2 linked regions of the Ovis aries genome follow. The protein of the gene in region 2 binds, or shares a complex with, the protein of the main gene of each other region. Links are inferred from orthologs where the notes say so. Each region holds a gene or a part of one and is shown on either strand. Other genes may lie near its edges. The genes, in order: ACSS1 and SIRT3.

What was found.
Region 1: the proteins of SIRT3 (region 2) and ACSS1 are in contact, whole or in part, in a crystal structure (PDB 3GLT), measured with the Homo sapiens proteins. The link is inferred for Ovis aries from reciprocal best matches to the Homo sapiens genes SIRT3 and ACSS1. Residues at the interface, in NP_036371.1 of Homo sapiens: Gly145, Ala146, Gly147, Thr150, Pro151, Asp156, Phe157, Arg158, Ser159, Glu177, Phe180, Gln228, Asn229, Ile230, His248, Ile291, Val292, Phe293, Phe294, Gly295, Glu296, Pro297, Leu298, Gly319, Thr320, Ser321, Leu322, Glu323, Val324, Glu325; in NP_115890.2 of Homo sapiens: Ser640, Gly641, Lys642, Val643, Met644, Arg645.

The regions. Positions count from the first base shown.
Region 1 is NC_056066.1:42,191,991-42,195,793, forward strand, and holds part of ACSS1 (acetyl-coenzyme A synthetase 2-like, mitochondrial), read right to left. Parts: intron 3,384-3,803; coding exon 3,246-3,383; intron 1,066-3,245; coding exon 973-1,065; intron 95-972; coding exon 1-94. UniProt on the Homo sapiens protein: Catalyzes the synthesis of acetyl-CoA from short-chain fatty acids. Acetate is the preferred substrate. Can also utilize propionate with a much lower affinity. Provides acetyl-CoA that is utilized mainly for oxidation under ketogenic conditions.
Region 2 is NC_056074.1:47,445,993-47,450,404, forward strand, and holds the start of SIRT3 (NAD-dependent protein deacetylase sirtuin-3, mitochondrial), read left to right. Parts: upstream 1-1,390; 5' UTR 1,391-1,413; coding exon 1,414-1,496; intron 1,497-4,412. Other genes in the region: PSMD13 (26S proteasome non-ATPase regulatory subunit 13), read right to left, coding at 328-422.

The sequences.
Region 1 (3,803 bases), on a different chromosome or scaffold from region 2:
GGAACAATGCCGAACAGGGGCCTCATCGCCATGCAGGGCAGGATCTCTGCCCCCTCCTCTGAGGGCCGTGGAGAGATGCAGATGCCCCCCGTTTCTGCAGGGGATAAGAAGAAACGCCAGTGGGCCTGGGGCTACTGACACGTGCGTCCAGACCGCATGGGCACTGGGTCCACACAGCACACAAGGGTGCACGCCAGAGAGGGAGGGAAGGACCTGCCATCCGGGGCAAGGAAATGGCCCCGGTGACAAAAGGACCTCTGTCTGAGGAGAAACCAGGCTAGAGTGCTGGTCCCTCCACTGTGGAAACAAGAACACACCTAGGGCAGCCCCAGGAGCTGAGGTCCCCAGCCTGTGTCATGGGGACATGGGGGCAGCGGAAAGGAGGACAGAGGAAAAGAATGCTCAGGGCAAGGACCCCAGACAGGGAGAACAGCCCCAGGTTCTGCCCCTGGTCATTTCTCTGGATTCATCAGCCTGCAGGGGAAGGCCCACCAGGGCTCCGCTGTAGGGAACACCCAGGGCCTTTCTGAACCACGAGGCCTGCAAACCAGGAACATCTCTTTCTGGCTTCTTGAAGGATGAGACTTCAGCCACTTCAGTGAGGGGTCTCTTGGCCCCCAAATTCTGATAAGTCAGACACCCCAGAGGAGAGGGGCAAATCAAAGCAAAACAATGCAAATAAAACTTCTTTTCCCACTAACATCTAATCCTAGACTCAAGGTCCCTTAAACAGCAGGCCCCAGGCTAGACTATGCTGGGTTCAGGAGGTGGGCCGCCATGGACGGGACCCTTGTGGGCTCCTGTGTCACCCCCTCCACGCCCACCCAGGCCCCACCTTACAGACGAGGAAAGGAGGCTCGGGGAAGCCTTCACACCCAGGTGTCAGAGCTGCAGAGCAGCAGCAGCCCCGAGCTCCTCTCCCCAAATGCCAGGCGCCCATGGGGCTGAGCCTCCCCCGATGGACAGGCTCACCTGTCTGCCACCAGGTGTCTACCAGCGTGCACCGGCCGTCCCCCACCACCCTGTGCAGCCACTCCCAGGCCTCGTGGTTGATCGGCTCTCCCACTGCAACCATACGAGACAGAAGTGTTAAGAGACTCCACAGGGCTGAAACCAAAGGAGCGGATTTCATGAGGAAAACAGATCTGTTAGTTGTCCTGAAAGGCACACAGGAGACTTGAGAAAGCAGTGAGATCATCCTCTTTATGGCCATTGAAGAATACAAATGACAGTGAGATATTTTCAATATCAGGGGGTCAAAAACCAAGAGGCTGGCAAGAGTGTGGAGGAAACACCAGCATATACACCACCCGAGTGCAGCTTGGGAGCGATGCAGGCATTTCTCTTCCTGTTTGTTTATGGTCATCCCAACTAGGGACCGAACCCATGCCCCTGCAGTGGAAGCTCAGAGTCCTAACTACAGGACCACTAGGGAAATCCCTCTCTTCCTGTTTAGAAGTGACACTCCTGCTGCAAATGCTCTAGGCACCTGCTGCTGGCAGAATGCAGTAAAGCCACACATGCTTGTTCTGTGATGAGAAGGCAGCGCCCAGCCCCAGAAGGAAAAATGGACGAGGGTGTTCCTGCAGCCTGCAGCTAAAAACGGTCCGTGGAGCAGAGAATGGCAAAGTGAGTCATGGCACTTTCCTGATGGCCAAAGCATGCAGCAGTCCCAGTGCAGGAGCCGCTGTGCTGGTCACCCCTCTGCCAGTGCAGCCGCACGTCGTTGCGGGGAAGTCGTTCTGGCTCACAAGCCATTTAACTTGGACTTAGGCTGACGACAACAGCTCATCTGTGGCCTGTCAAACAGACCCTGTAATCTGCTTTAGTCATTAAAAAGCAGGGAAAAGGGCATACCGACCAGAAGTTTAGGAGATAAGAGATAAATGCCTCCTGCCTGGGATGCCAACACTGGGACTCCTTTGATGATAAGACTCTTCTCCTAGGGCCACGGCTGTACTGACTCTGTGTACGTGCTGAGGGGCTTCTTCAGAACCTTGAAGGCATGTATTCCTGACTTGTTTGATGTACTTTGTTCTGATAAGACATAGAATTGCTAAAAACCATACTTCTCTGGCAGAGAAAGCAATGGCAACCCACTCCAGTTCTCTTGCCTGGAAAATCCCATGGGCGGAGGAGCCTCGTAGGCTGCAGTCCACGGGATCGTTAAGAGTCGGACACAACTGAGCGACTTCACTTTCACTTTTCACTTTCATGCATTGGAGAAGGAAATGGCAACCCACTCCAGTGTTCTTGCCTGGAGAATCCCAGGGACAGGGGAGCCTGGTGGGCTGCCGTCTATGGGGTCGCACAAAGTCGGACACGACTGAAGCGACTTAGCAACAACATACTTCTCTGGAGCAGCTCCTCAGATCTAGCCTCCTCAGCTTGGCTTGAATAAAACTCTCTTCTATTTTTATTAGTTGCTCGCAAAGAGTCGGACACGACTAAGCGACTAAATAACAATTCTTATTATACACTGGTTACTAATTATTTTCCTCAACAATACTCTGGTCTCAGAACACCCCACAGGCCTCTGCTATTGGCACTGGTTATGCGGCTGGGCTGCCCCGTTACAGAGGCCCGGCTAGCCTGTGAGGGCTCCCTGGGGCAGGGGGTTTCGGCACACTCCTGGTCCGAGAGAGTGGCTCTGGTCATGGGCTTTAGGGAGTGAGGCCCACAGGAGTCTGCCAGGCCTGGGGGACACACAGACCCTCAAGCAGCGTCTCCCTCATTACCTGGTCCTGCTTCCTTAGCAACTAAATCCCCTACGGGAGAACAGGCCTGAAACCTTCCCCCTCCAAGGACCACCTCAACTCAAGGTCACCTTTCCAAAATGTCCTCACGTGACCTGGTGACATGGATCCAAATTATCATAAAAGTGAAGGTAACCTCTAATCTCGCAACACCATCCCTGCCTGGAGACACGCACCCAAGGACAGAACGGCACAGATGCCCGTGCTGGGAACAGAGTGGGTAAAATCCCGGGCAGCAGTGGGGAACCAGCCAGGGCCTGACCTTCCCACAATGCTGAGTTTTCATAATGAAGACGGAGCACAGCCAAGGTCGCAGTGCTGAGCTCCAGTCCCTCCACGGCTGTGGGCTCCGGAAGAGGGCTTCCAGGGAGGACATCTGCTTTCTACAGCTGTGGCCACATCAAGTGGACTCAGCGCAGACATGGCCATTGTGATGAAGCATCCAGAGGCCTGCGCGGCTCCGATACACACACGCCTGCAGCCGCTCACCTGAGCCCAGGGTCCGCAGAGAAGAGCGGTCATACTTCTTCACCCAGGAGTCCTCGAACTTCAGCAGCAGCCGGTAGGCCGTCGGGGCGCCATAGAACTGATTGATCTTCAGCCTCTGCACCATCTCCCAGTACCGACCTATGAGAGGCCCCGGGTCATGTCACCTCCGTGAGCCTCACTCAGAGGTGACCCACGTTACCATGTGCTGGATGCATGCAAACACCTACAGTGTCCACGAAACCCACTCTGCACCACTGCTGGAAGGGGAGGGGCTCCCCGTGCACCACCTCCGCCTGGCCCTGGGCCTGCCAGCCCACGTCCTGACCCACGTGACACGGCAAGGAAGCAGTCAAAGGGATGTTACGGTGAAGTAGCACCAATGCAGAACCCACGTCCAGGAGGACATAAACAGCCTCCAGAGGTGACCAGTGCTCCCTGGAGCAGCGGTGACACACAGGATGCACAGGCCCTATCACCCCCAACTCACTGAGGCCACCTGAGACGCGCCTCCCATCCCTAGCCAGGCCCCCTGCGTGTCTTCCAGGAGCACAGCTGGCC
Region 2 (4,412 bases):
CGTTTCTCCAGACTTCTGAGAAAAGTAACAGTAGGTTATGACAAGGCTAACTATAAGACATCGGTATCTGTTCAGTCACAGGTCCAGAAGGCAGCGAACGCTAGATCCCAAAACCCAGTCTGGCTCTCCTCAGCCCTGCGAGATGTCACCCTTTTCCCTCCTCGGTCCTGCCTTCCGGGTCCCTCAGCACCCCTTCTCTGTCTAGCTTGTCCCCATTTAATCCACACGGGTCCGAGCGCCCTCAGTCCACCAAGATCCAGGCCCACCCCGTCCCCCCTGTCGCTCTCCTATTCCAGGAGGCCCACGGCCCTAAGGCTCGGCGCTCACTTCTTGGTGTAGAGCTCCTCCAAACGGTGCCACACGGCGGCCTGGCCGGGCCCGGAGCTCTGACTCTGTTGTAAGAAGCCGGATACGTCCTTCATGACTGCAGGAACAACCGGGGAAAGCAGTATCGCGGCGATGCCAGGGCGCGGAGGAGGCCGCCGGAAGTGCTCACTCACTTCCGGCGCTGCGTCACGCGAGGCAAGCTGGGAGCACTATGCTCAGCTTTAGGCGCCGGCTGGTTGTCATAGTAACCGCGCCTCTTGGCTTTGGACCCAGGTCTCTCCAGGGTTTGTAACGGATTTCCCCTCGGAGCTGGCCGTGCTACTGAGGCATTGAAGAGTACGGGCGCCTCGGTCGAGCTGGCTTTGTGACCTTTGTGACGCAATGTTCTTGATTCAAGTCGGGTTAACAATACCACCTTCCTAGTAGGGGCTTGCGAGGACTAAGTATAAATATGATGCCTGACCACAAAAAGCGTCCCCCAAACTGTCAGTTCTCATCTCCATCTCAACAGAAAAAAGCTGAGAGCGAGGGTAGAGAAATGCAGGTTCCAGGTTTGGTCTTGGGAACCAGAGGCGGGAACTCAACAGAATAGGAAACCGCCCCCACCTGACGTCCACCTCCACCTGGGCTGCTGGGACGGGGAAAGAGAACGTGAGGCTAGGGTAAGGGCTCGCGAAGACCTGGCGAAGGTGCGCTTGGAGGGGCGGGACAAGCTGAGCGGGACGGCCAGGAAGGACGCGCAGGAAAGACGCACAGGGGCGGGGAAAGAGCGTGAGGCTAAGGTAGGGGCGCGCTCGGGGGGGCGGGTCGCGCTCGCGGGGGGGCGGGTCGCGCTCGCGGGGGGGCGGGTCGCGCTCGCGGGGGGGCGGGTCGCGCTCGCGGGGGGGCGGGTCGCGCTCGCGGGGGGGCGGGTCGCGCTCGCGGGGGGGCGGGTCGCGCTCGCGGGGGGGCGGGGCGCGCTCGCGGGGGGGCGGGGCGCGCTCGCGGGGGGGCGGGGCGCGCTCGCGGGGGGGCGGGGCGCGCTCGCGGGGGGGCGGGGCGCGCACGGGACCCCTGGGCACCTGACATTGCGCGCTGCGGAGGAGAATGGCGCTGTTTCCTTGTTCAGCTGTTCCAGCCCTCAGGTTCTGGGGCCTGCGAGGTGCGCGGGCGTGGACCCGCTGGCCTCGGTTCGTTCCGGGCGGGGGCGGCTGTGGTGCTGGGCGGGGCCCAGGGAGGAGACCGACCCCCTCAGGCGAGCAGGGATGTCAGGCTTCCCCCTGCGTGGTCAGCGGGACGATTGGAGAAGCTGAAAATGGCAAGTCGTGGCTCAGGCGGCTCTGAAGGGCGTTCTGGAGTCCCGATGGCAACGGTTTCTCGTTTCTTCCCAAGGGTATTTTGGACGTGTGTAAACAACACTTAATGTTCATTCTTGACACCCGGCCCCCGTTTTAGTTAGATTCTGTTCTGTACCTCTCTCTTTTTTTTTTTTTTCCCACTTAACGTGTTTTGGAGTTACTTCCATTCTAAACTTAAATGCTTTCTCAGTCTTTTATGCTAGTCTGTAGAATTCCATTCTTTGGACGTTTCATACTTAATTTAACCAGTCTCGTGTTGAAAATGTTTCTAATCTTTGGTTATTAGAAATAGTGCTGTGTTGAATAACCTTGTTCGTACTCCACCTTTTGGATAAATCTCTAGTAGTGGAAGTCCTGTGTCTACACTTTATTGCCCCACATAAACGTTGTGCAATGAATACTCCCACCAGCATATGTTCATACCCTTACTGAGGTTCATACACAGTAACTGCGCATTTTGAATCCTTGTCTAGAAATCCGGCGTACAAGTGGAAAAATCTTAAGACCATAGTTGTTAATCACAGTTGTTAGGAAACTAACTTCATGCCCAATAATGGACAAATATTTCAGTAAATAATGGTACATTCACTTAATGCCTTCTTACACAACTACCAGAAATACTGGAGTTTAATAAAGAGATACCAAGGAGGAGTCTTTCTTTCATCCAGGAAACTTTTGTTGGACTTATCATCCACCAGACTGTTCCAGGTGCAGTGATGGAGCAGGGGTTAAATTGTTGCCTCCATGGAGCTTATTTCAGTTTCAGAATCTGCAGGCAGTTGTGTGGTTGGGGCATGGCTAAATAGTGAGCTTATCAATCAGTAAGCCCTTGCTACCACTTGCGGCCCAGACTGGAGGCCTAACGGCCCGTGGAGAGCAGCGTGCTTGCGTAGGCTGTCTCCGGTTTGGAATTTCTGCCTTTCGAGCTTGTGTCTTAGGGGCTCCTGATTGAAAGTGCCCTTTGTCTCCGTTTTCCAAGCAGTGTCTGTGCTTGCTCCTCAGCTTACCCCTGCTCTCAGTAAATCTCATTCCATGTAGCATTTGCTTTAAGTCCTACACCTTCAGTATTTTCTAGATGTTTGGCAGAATTCTGTCTATGTGTTTTTCAGTGACAGACGGTTCACTTGTGTAAACGAAAAGTCCACATTGAGTACCCTGAGTGTTACCTTGCACTCCAGTAGGCACTCGACAATGGGTTTTATTTCAATACCAGCGAGCAGCTTTTCAGTTTTCCACAGACGCCAACCGGATGTCAGATGTAACTGAATTCTGACTCTGTCATCCTGGAGACAGCACCAGATTCCACAGGTTAAGGGCGGTTAACCTCACTTCAGCCACTGATCCAGGTCCACTGTGCTTCTGACCAGCTGACTACAGATTGGAGCTGCCCATGACCCTTCCTCTGATGTGATTAATCTACAGCCGCTCACAGAGTTCAAGAAACCGGTTCCCTGAGTAGATTGCTAGTTTATTATAAAGGATATTAAAAAGTATGAATGAACAGCCAGATAAAGAGACGCCCAGGCTGAGGTCTGGGAGAGCTCCAAATGCAGGAGCTTCTGTCCCCGTGGGGTTTGGGGCCTGGCCCTTGGAAGCCTTCTGAACCACTTGCTTTTGGGTTTTCATGGAGATTCCAACCCTCTAATTGTGGTTGGTTTCCCTGGCAACCATACCCCATCCTTAGGGGATTTCCAGTAATCACCTCATTAACATAAACTCAGCATAGTTGTAAGAGGCTTGTTATGAATAACAGGACACTCATTTCACTTCAGAGCTCTGAAGGGATTTCAGGGCCTGAGGCCAAAAGACCAAATACTGTAACAGAAGGTGTTTCCATTGCTCTTAGGAAATTCTAAGGGTTCTGGGACTAAGACCGAAAGTATGTATTGTTAGATATAGTCAAAGCTATGTTTTTTCCAGTAGTTGTATATGGATGTGAGAGTTGGACTATAAAGAAAGCTGACCGCCGAAGAATTGATGCTTTTGAACTGTTTTGGAGAAGATTCTTGAGCATCCCTTGGACTGCAAAGAGATCCAAAGTCAATCCTGAAGGAAGTCAGTCCTGAATATTCATTGGAAGGACTGATGCTGAAGCTGAAACTCCAATACTTTGGCTACTTGATGTGAAGAATTGACTCGCTGGAAAAGACTGATGCTGGAAAATATTGAAGGCAGGAGTAGAAAGGGTAGACAGAGGATGAGATGGTTGGATGGCGTCGCTGACTTGATGGACATGAGTTTGAGCAAGCCCTGGGAGTTGGTGATGAACAGGGAAGCCTGGCATGCTGCAGTCCATGGGGTTGCAAAGAGTCAGACAGGACTGAGCGACTGAACTGAACTGAATATATATATAATTCTCTACTTTGTCAACAACAACAAAAAATTCTAAATCACAATATCAGAACTTTCCTCTCATTCCTTTTGTATTTCCCATAATTTTCATTTAGAAGGAGCACAGAAATGTTTGGCTGAGGACCTTAGGTGAACAGATGTTCTCGACGCTATGTGAAGTGGACATTTCATAGCTGTGGTTGTAGCCAGAGCCATCCTTTTCCTTCCTAACTATGGTTTTCAGAAACCAAATGGAAAACCCCATTGGAGAGTTCACTGATGTGCACTCAGGAGAGCTGCCTTGTCTGGTGCTTTTATGGAAGACTTGGGTGGAGGAGAACTTTCTTCAGAATCTGGGGGCATCTCTGGAAGAGCATGGGGAGGAGTGGGAAAGCATTGTTTCCCTGCTGTGTTTCC